2 linked regions of the Nothobranchius furzeri genome follow. The main gene of each other region encodes a partner of the protein of the gene in region 2 in a complex. Links are inferred from orthologs where the notes say so. Each region holds a gene or a part of one and is shown on either strand. Other genes may lie near its edges.

The links.
Region 1: the proteins of tsen34 (region 2) and tsen15 are in contact, whole or in part, in a crystal structure (PDB 6Z9U), measured with the Homo sapiens proteins. The link is inferred for Nothobranchius furzeri from reciprocal best matches to the Homo sapiens genes TSEN34 and TSEN15. Residues at the interface, in NP_001070914.1 of Homo sapiens: Pro251, Leu252, Arg253, Phe254, His255, Ala256, His257, Tyr258, Pro265, Glu266, Asp267, Thr268, Ile269, Pro270, Leu271, Gln272, Leu274, Ser283, Val284, Arg285, Lys286, Thr287, Leu289, Leu290, Cys291, Ser292, Gln294, Val300, Tyr301, Thr302; in NP_443197.1 of Homo sapiens: Leu70, Lys74, Trp76, Thr108, Pro109, Ile110, Thr111, Ala112, Ser113, Leu114, Ser115, His116, Asn117, Ile119, Arg120, Leu123, Leu141, Ile143, Val151, Tyr152, Tyr153, Lys154, Leu155, Thr156, Asp157, Gly158, Phe159, Met160, Leu161, Pro162.

What each region holds. Positions count from the first base shown.
Region 1 is NC_091751.1:70,463,330-70,467,589, reverse strand, and holds tsen15 (tRNA-splicing endonuclease subunit Sen15), read left to right. Parts: upstream 1-1,516; 5' UTR 1,517-1,637; coding exon 1,638-1,712; intron 1,713-2,797; coding exon 2,798-2,879; intron 2,880-3,040; coding exon 3,041-3,176; intron 3,177-3,249; coding exon 3,250-3,418; 3' UTR 3,419-3,704; downstream 3,705-4,260. UniProt on the Homo sapiens protein: Non-catalytic subunit of the tRNA-splicing endonuclease complex, a complex responsible for identification and cleavage of the splice sites in pre-tRNA. It cleaves pre-tRNA at the 5' and 3' splice sites to release the intron.
Region 2 is NC_091753.1:55,691,851-55,696,218, forward strand, and holds the start of tsen34 (tRNA-splicing endonuclease subunit Sen34), read right to left. Parts: upstream 2,960-4,368; 5' UTR 2,674-2,959; intron 1,554-2,673; exon of another isoform or gene 1,471-1,553; intron 561-1,470; 5' UTR 552-560; coding exon 303-551; intron 1-302. Other genes in the region: eif2a (eukaryotic translation initiation factor 2A), read right to left, coding at 3,852-3,917, 4,031-4,096, 4,272-4,368. UniProt on the Homo sapiens protein: Constitutes one of the two catalytic subunit of the tRNA-splicing endonuclease complex, a complex responsible for identification and cleavage of the splice sites in pre-tRNA. It cleaves pre-tRNA at the 5'- and 3'-splice sites to release the intron.

The sequences.
Region 1 (4,260 bases), on a different chromosome or scaffold from region 2:
TTTTTGCTGATTCAGTTATTACATATCAATGACCAATCATTCCTGTGGCGTTCTTCTTCTCTTCATATGTGGAGCAGTACTGATATCCCATGTTTTCAGGGTTTGCTTACACTGCTTTCTTCCTTTGTGAAATAAAAGTATTGTTTCTGTGCTTTTGTTATTCTATCAGTAGGAATAAAACACGACCTTCCGTCACACATTTTATCCTCTTTCTGTGTTTCTTTTCAGTTTCCATTGATGTTTTCTTGTTTAATAGACAGTGTAGCAGTTTATCTTCATCTCATGACAGTTTCCGTCGCCATTGTGAGCCTCGCTGATGTTGACAGCATTACATTTTCCTTCTAATAAAGACCGATAGGGTGGTCAAAGTAGCATGCCTTAAAGTCAAAGTGACCTACCTAAAGCCCCATTCCCACCTGTACCGGGTCGGCCCGGGCCGGGTAGCGTAGGTTGTTTACATATCTGGGTGGCCTGGTATTTTTCCGGGCCAACCAGGGCTCGTTCTCAGCCCTCTTCTCGAGGGGGTCTGCTTCAGGCCGACCAGGGCCAACACACCCACTGCTGACAGCAAATTCACACCTTCCATTAGAGCAAGCCTCTGATTGGTGGGTAGAATCAGCCCACATGGGCTTAAGACAAGGATGTGTGGAAACAACCGGGCCAGACTGGGGCCGACTGGGGCTACCCGGCCCGGGCCGACCCGGTACAGATGGGAATGGGGCTTAAGTAGGTTCTGGTTGTACCCACAAAAACGGCTCTATCTGGTCTGAGTGATCTTGTGTGCCCCCTAGTGCAACATTCCAGTACTACATCCAGGGCACATCTGGCCCTACCCACGTGTTCACATTGTTCTGCGTGGGACTCAAACAGGACCTAGGCCTCAAAGTCAAATGAGTTCACTGCAAGTGAAACGAGCTTATCGGGCTGTTGTTTCTGGATTTCACAGCTACGTCTGAATCTGCCGTTCTTTAGACTTCTGCTCTTTGTTTAGATCAGGGGTCTCCAACCTTTTTTGGCCCGTGAGCTACTTTTACACAATGAAAGTACCGAAGAGCCATACGATTTATTCACACTGGCACTTTACGTGTAAATATGTTTGTTAAAAATGCCATGCTTGCTAAATAAGAATGCTTTGTTTTCACAAGTTTATTTCTACATTTCAACACATTAATATATAAAAGAAGATATTCTGAAAATCTAAACATTTTGTTTATTAACTAGTCAGTTTCAAATAATGAATAACAAATCTAATTTGTTTGAATGATTTGACATTCTTTTAGAATGGATCAGTAACATCACTTTTTGAGCACAGTCCTGACCCCCTGCCCTGTGGTTAATAATCTGTAGCAGACTCACGGTCTACTAAACTAAAAGTCAAATTTGTTACAAGCTAAATAAGTTTGTTGTTTTATTTTTTAAGTATTTTCACGGTTTTCCTCAAATAAAACGGTGCACTATAATATTACACAGCGGTAATTTTCCTATGCTCTTCCGGTTTGCGGAACCAAATATAAGCGTTCCTTTTCCCACCCGGACAAACTATTGTAACGCACCACCAACGCTCTGGTGCTGAGCCGCTCAGCTTCAGCCCTCCTGCGTTTAAATACGATGTTCGGTTCTAACGTTCAGTTACAAACATGGCGGAAGTGATGGACGGAACGAAGAAGCGAGGCGAGACCGAACCTCCGAACTGGATCCTGCAGCACCCGGTGGTGAGTGGAGGAGCCGGTGGCGGAAGCATGACGTCACCAGTGCGCCCTCTGGCACCGCTAGCGAACCTTAGAGAAGAGGCACATCTGATATGTTATCCTTCAGTACTAACGGGTCGTTTTACTCAAATTTCATTAGTAACGTTAAAAAACGTGTCAGAAAAAGTATTGGTACATGTAAATGTATAAAGAAAGAAGTAAAATAAGATCAAAACTGTAACATCCAATTTTTAGCATTTTTTATTCTACTGATGTGACATTATTAGCCTCAGAGTGACCTGGCTGTGGGCAGCTCTTTACCCTGAGGCCATAAATGTGATGAGTTTCCACATGAAGCCCATCTGCGGACACCATCTCCTGACCCCCGTACACCAAGGAGGAAATATATTGGGCCTGGCTCAAGGACCCTGAAAGGTCCGTCGTAAACCGGTTGCAGAGCTGATCTGTGGGCATCGTGGCAAATGAAAAAACATAAATAAATACCCGAACTCGACAAATCCCACAGATAAACGAGGGCAACCCACGGTGAACCCGCACCGGATGTCCGTCGGCTGGCCAACCCACCTGTGGGGGCCAAGCGCAGAACCGAGGAACAAGCCCGCCTGGCGCGTGCTGGTTGGCCAAAAAGCTAGTTCAATCAGGGATGCACCGATGTCTTCCCTAACCCCAGAACATTTTACAGAGAGCAGAAAACACCTGGACAGGTGGCTCGTTTGTCACACTCTTGCTTCAATCAGTCTGAACTCATCCACACCAGGTAAACTCACCTGACCCTTCTCCGAGGCTGTTCACCACACCTAAAACCCTCTTACTCATGGTAGAGGCTTGGTTATGTAGATGTTTACAGGAAAGGGGGAAGTGGAAAAGCATAGCATAGTGGAGGTCTATGGACCACGGGCCTGAGGGTGGAAGCATCCACCAATATCCTGGCTAAGTTTCAGACTGTCGGTCTTTGAAATTTAGACTCAAAAGGAGAAGGAAGTTCACATTTGGTCCCGAGTGTGGTAACGAGGTAGTGAAAGGGTGACGTATGAGGTAAACAGTCCAGTCTGTCGGGTGTTTGGATCTCTGAGTCTTTGTTGTGCTAGTACCAGCAGATGAAGGAACTGGAGGTTGGAGACAGCACACAGCTGCACGCAGCTTTTCTGGTGTTCATGGACCTCACTGAGGGTGAGTTAGGCCCGACTCGGCTCGGGTTTGTTCTCCTCTAACATGCAGGTAGAACCGGCCCACACGGGCCAAGGAGAACCTCCTGCGGACGTGATACAGAAATGAAAAGGACCTCCTCTTGACTCGGTCATCTCTCTCGCTCTGATTCTTGCCCTCTGCAGTGCGCCAGTGGACGAAGGTGACCTATGCCGAGAGTCCAGAGCTGCAGCTGGTTCTGCTGGAAGCCAAGGAGAAGGATGGAGGTCCAGTTCAGACGGTTCTGCCTCTGCCTGTTCACCGTTCCCTGAGCCACAGGAGGTGAGAAAAACTTAGACTTCAACCGACATCCCTGCTTACATTCAGTCACAGAGCCTTTGTCCCTGCTGTGCAGCATACGCCACCTTCTGGACCGCGGGTTCCCTTTGCTGCTGTGTGCCGTGGCGTCCGACTCCACCCTGGTTTATCAGAGGATGACCGACGGGTTGGTGACTCCAGAACCCCCCGTGGGACTTTTCCATGATGCGGGTCGTCGGCAGAAGCAGCGGAGAAGAAAGCAGTGATGGATGTGTAGGCGGAGAGTGCGGAGGAGGGTGCATTTAAACCAGCACCCTGACAGGCTGGAGGTCCGGCCTGTGGCCCAAGTTCAGAATATGAAGAATGAGCCACAAGAGTGAGCGTGACCTCAACGTGGGCCTTCACCAGGTTCTGGTGCCGGTGTGCGGGTTGAACGTCCCACATCAGGATGCTGCTGATGGTCTGGCGAAACCAAAGGTTTACTAACTTTGCTGTTATTTTTATGTCTTTGATATCCGATCCGAACACAAAGTAAACATCACTTGTGATCCAGCTGTGATGATTCTTTAAGTGAGCAGCAGATGCAGACGGGGCCTGACGGCTGACATCTGCAGCCGGGTTTAAACCTTCTCCCAAATCAAACTATGATGTCTCCAAGCTTGTTTTATTAAAACTGACTTTTGTGTTGTTGGAAGTCTTGCTCGAGGACACGACTGCAACGGGGGATTGATCCTGCAACCCTCCGGTTACTGGGGGGGGTGATCAGATAGCAGGAATTAGCAGCGCTGAATTCAAGAACCAGGGAAGTAGCGGCCGACCCAAATATCAGCCGGCCAATTTGGCCGTCGGTCAAAATTATTTTTGAAAGCCGATTAAAATAAATAAATAAATCAGGCACCGGTGGGGCCAACTGCTGCCACTACTGGAGTGAAAAAAGGACGCCAACACACCGTTTTTTATGTTTTAAGTTAGTTTTACATTTGAAGTTAAAAAATCTTAAGAGGTTCGACTTATTTAATTAATATAGCACACAGTGAGTGTTCATTTCACAATGGGTGAGCTGCTAAAATGGATTTATATATCGGGCTAATAATCGGCTTTAGGTGTC
Region 2 (4,368 bases):
CCACCCATTTGCTACGTTCTGGCTCCGCCACTGATCCCACCCACCAGCTGTTGGAACTGCTATAGGTCAGTACCAGTTTACGGCTCTGCAACAAACATTTAAAGTCTAAATTACGTATGATGTCACAGGGGTGTAAACATTCTTACACCCTCCTTCGTGACATTTGACTGAATTATGACGCTTTCTTGAGTCTGCCCGGTATTTTCTGTTACCGTTGGTAGTGTGTGATGTTTCTTGGGATTGTGCCTCACAGGGAGAGGCACTCGTTATCTCACAGCGACAGTAAAGTCATTCATTCAGACCTGGTTCCGTGGAGGAAAGGCCGCAGCGTGGCGCTCCCTCAGCAGTCTCTCCTCCTCTGGCAGCAGCAGCAGTGGTCGACCCAGTTTGAGGTTCTGTCTGGGGGCTCTGGGCAGTGAGCCGAGCAGGGCCCCCACCACACTCTGAGACCTGACGGTCCTCAGGTCCTGAGCACGCCACAGGAGTGGGGTGGAGTCACAAAGACTGAGAGCCACTACAGGGTCGGAGCTCTCCTGGTTCTGGTCCTCCATCAGCAGGATCTGCCAATCAGAACGAAGCCACGTAAACTATCTGATTTCTTTAAACAACACATAATCACCAATAAACTAGGAGTAGGCCAGGATTATCCCACATAATTTCACTAGTATGAGACACTTGGAACAACGGTAGTGAGGAGCTAAAGGCATGCCCATAACTGGAGGGTTGCAGGTTCGCCTCCCGCTCAGTTTATTGCAGTCGTTTTCAATTCAAAAATACTTTATTAATCCCAGAGGGAAATTGATTGCTGTAGTAGCTCAGAATAATAATAATAATCAAGTCATCAAAGAGTTGTTGTATATTACAACGGCTGTTGGCAGGAAGGATCTCCAGTAGCGGTCAGTGTTGCAGCCAAACTGAAGAAGCCTCTGACTGAAGACTCTTCCGTTGTCGGACAGTCTTGTGAAGAGAATGCTCAGGGTTGTCCATCATTTTCTTGATTCTCTGGAGAATCCTTCTTTGCATTATCTCCTCCAGCAGTTCCGAAACTGACGAAACTCTGGCTGAGTCCTTGAAAGGGCTTGGAGTTCCTCCATCTTGTTGGCCAGTGATCTCACATTGCCCATTATGATCGATGGAAGAGATGGTTTGAATTTCCTCTTTCTCTGTCTCCGTTTTGCTCCCGCTCTGCATCCACGCTTCTTGCGTTTTAGCTCATTTGGGATTTTTGGCTTCAGCTGAGGTATTATTTCAGCCTTTCACATGTTAATCAGCTGCTCCCGATTGTAAACCAGCTTGTTGCCGTGGTTACGCATCATAACAAATGCTCAAAAAGTGAAAAAAGCTAAAAAAATAGCAGTAAAAATCCTCCAAGCTTCACAGCACCAGAAACAGAAAAGTAAAGTGTCCAAAAAAATACAGTTTTTCTTGAGAAACTAGAAGAAAAAATACCCAAGAAAAGGCAAAACTTACATATAGTCAACAGAGCTACTCCAACATGCAGCCACCCAGAGCAGCGCCGTTCCGGAAAAACTTTGTACCTAGGGAAGACACCCCCCCACCCCCCACCCCGCTCATGGTGGTTAGAGGAACTGACGGCACCCATGTACGGCAAGCTGGCCTCCGTCAGTGCACCACAGGAAGGTGTTCTGAGAAAACATCCTACCCATAGGCTAATTTTACGGTGTTTTACATGACACTAACCCTAACCCAAAAAATCAAGTATCAACGTCAATAAAAAGTACTAATACTTACTACTGATCTATTTTCCTGCAAATATGACAAAGGAGTAGCATTTCCTTTTTGTGTTGCTCAGGAACAACAGGTAGGACGGTTTACGGGGTAGGAGAAGTTCCCAGAACACCGGCTGCGGCTACAATGTAGCTCATCACCACCAGTGTGTGAATGTGCAGGTAAACAGGCATGTTGTAAAGCACCTTGGGGGGCTGTAGGACCCCAGAAGGAGCTATATAAATAAAGGCCATTTATCACTTTACTTGAATTGTGCCTTTAATTTTCTGTAGGTTGAACAAACGTTTACAGCGATTATTAGAATTAAGATTAAGGTCAGAGTGAGTGACGTCATCAGCTGCTGCTTCAAGGAGGAAATATGAATCTGCACTAAAAACTGAGATTTCACAGGAACAGTAAAAAGTGTCTAAAGTCTGCCTCATTGTGCTGCAGTTAGCATTAATACAGGGTACGGTGGCACATTATCACTAGATATCACAACGATTCCTCTTTACTGTCGGTAAGGAGTGGAGGCAATTTACCAATTATTTCACCATGGTAACTAGAGAGAGAGTAATATGACTCCATTCACAATCTGGTACCAATAATAATAATAATAATAATAATAACATCCTGAGTTTGTTAGTATTTGTTGTAAATAAGAGCCCGGGTGACCAAGACCTCTGACCTGCAGCTAGTTTACTATGTAATCCCACTGATTAAGGTTAGGGTTAGGACTAGTTAGGGTTTGTTGACACAAACTAACTAGCACTTTGGTTCGGTCTGATGGACCCGAGGCTTTCTGTCTCACGCATGCGCAGACTTTGCGGATTTTCTAACCGGTACAGTCTGACCCTGCTCTCAGACAATCCGAGTCCTGGTCTGGTTCTGCTCAGAAACCGAACCTGAACGAACTGGAGAGCAACCTTTTACCAACTACCTTACCAGCAAGTGCCTCCTCCGCGTTTGGCTTTACGACCTGCCGTAAACCGCTTCGCTTTTGTTACAACTTTATTGAACGCGTAAGTTAACAGCACAGGCACACGTTCCTCCCAGCTGATCCACTGTCAGGAAACTGGAATGTTATTTCAGATAGTTCAGATCTGCCTAACTGCTTTAGCAAAACATAATAGTCATGGCATTCATATTTACTAAATAAGCATTAATAACACCTCTAATAAACTCACTACTACTATAGATCCATCTGTAGGTTAGGCAGACATGCGATTTAATAAAAACCAGCTGGTATTTTTAGTACAACCTTGATTATATTTGTTTGAAGGACACAAAATCCTATCACCATCCAACTAATACCAGTTTCTACTATAGCTGTACTCACTCCTGTTCCATGAGGTCAACATACAAGTAGAGGAATTGTTGGTAAAAAATCATTTTCCCAAAGGAAACCTGGCTTTGCTGCTTCCTGGGCCCTGAAGCAGGTTTGGTTGCTGACCTTCTATGGCCTGTTCTAACTACGACCATTAATGTGGTTTTATTGTTCTTCGTGAAGTTTATATGACAGGTTCAGCCATTTGGGTCATCACTGACTGGATGAATAAAAGCACCACAGATATAAGGTGACACGATTCAAGGCAGTAACAATAAACCACCGGATCTAAACTAGTTGTTTAATTATAACCAGTTTGACTCAGCACTCACTCGTACACCCTAACGCATGAGGATCTGAGGACAAATGTGTTCTGGTGCTGCAGCAGAACAGAACTGGACCTGGTCCAAAAGAGAATCTATCGCTCAGTATTTTTTTAGACAAAAAAACAAACAAACAAACAGACGCTAATAAGCAGGGTCAGGCTTTTATTATGAAAGGAACACTGTCAAAACAAAAGTCTTTAGATTTGTAAACCACTGCACTTCCTGTTGCCTACACTTCCCAGAATGCCTCTGGGCGGTGCTGCCACAGGTAGGAACGAAAGCAGGTCTAATCAGTTCACCTTAGCGATTAGCCCCGCCCCTTAGAAACCGCTGCCCTGATGAAGAGCCACCAGACCTTTGGGTCAGCTCAGTCAGACCCTCCCAAGCACATCGCCACTCCTCACTGGGTCGCTGTACAAGAGGGATGCATGATGGGACGAGGGCGTGGCTGAAGGACTGAGTGGCTTCTTCTACTGTCCCACCTGCAGATCCCGCAGCTCCTCCAGGAGCTGCTCCTCCTTCTGGATCTTCTCCAGCTGCAGGAAACACAAGGTTCAGATTCTGGTTCAACAGGGTAACGCATTATCTACGGTTACAGGAGGGCGTGGTTCTAAAGGCAGCTACACTGCTTTTGCAGAACCTTCCAGACCTGGTTCTTCTGCAGAACTTTCCCAGACGCCTGTTGCTCCTTCAGCTCATCGATGGCCTTCAGTTTCTGGAACACACGGATGCATAACTGACTCTCTGGCCAATCACAACGCAGAACACCACCAACATCCTCCAATCACCTCCAGGGACGGTGGCCCTGAAGGACCAGGATTGGCCACGACTGCTGTGTTTGGTTACAGCGGCCTGTCGTACAGACACGAAGACTCCGACATGCTCTTTACCTTCTTTAGGTTCTTGATCTTCTTGTCGGTTTCTGGATCCCCGTTGGTCTCTTCTGATTGGCTGCTGCTGACGGGGGCGGAGACAGTTGATGGTTCA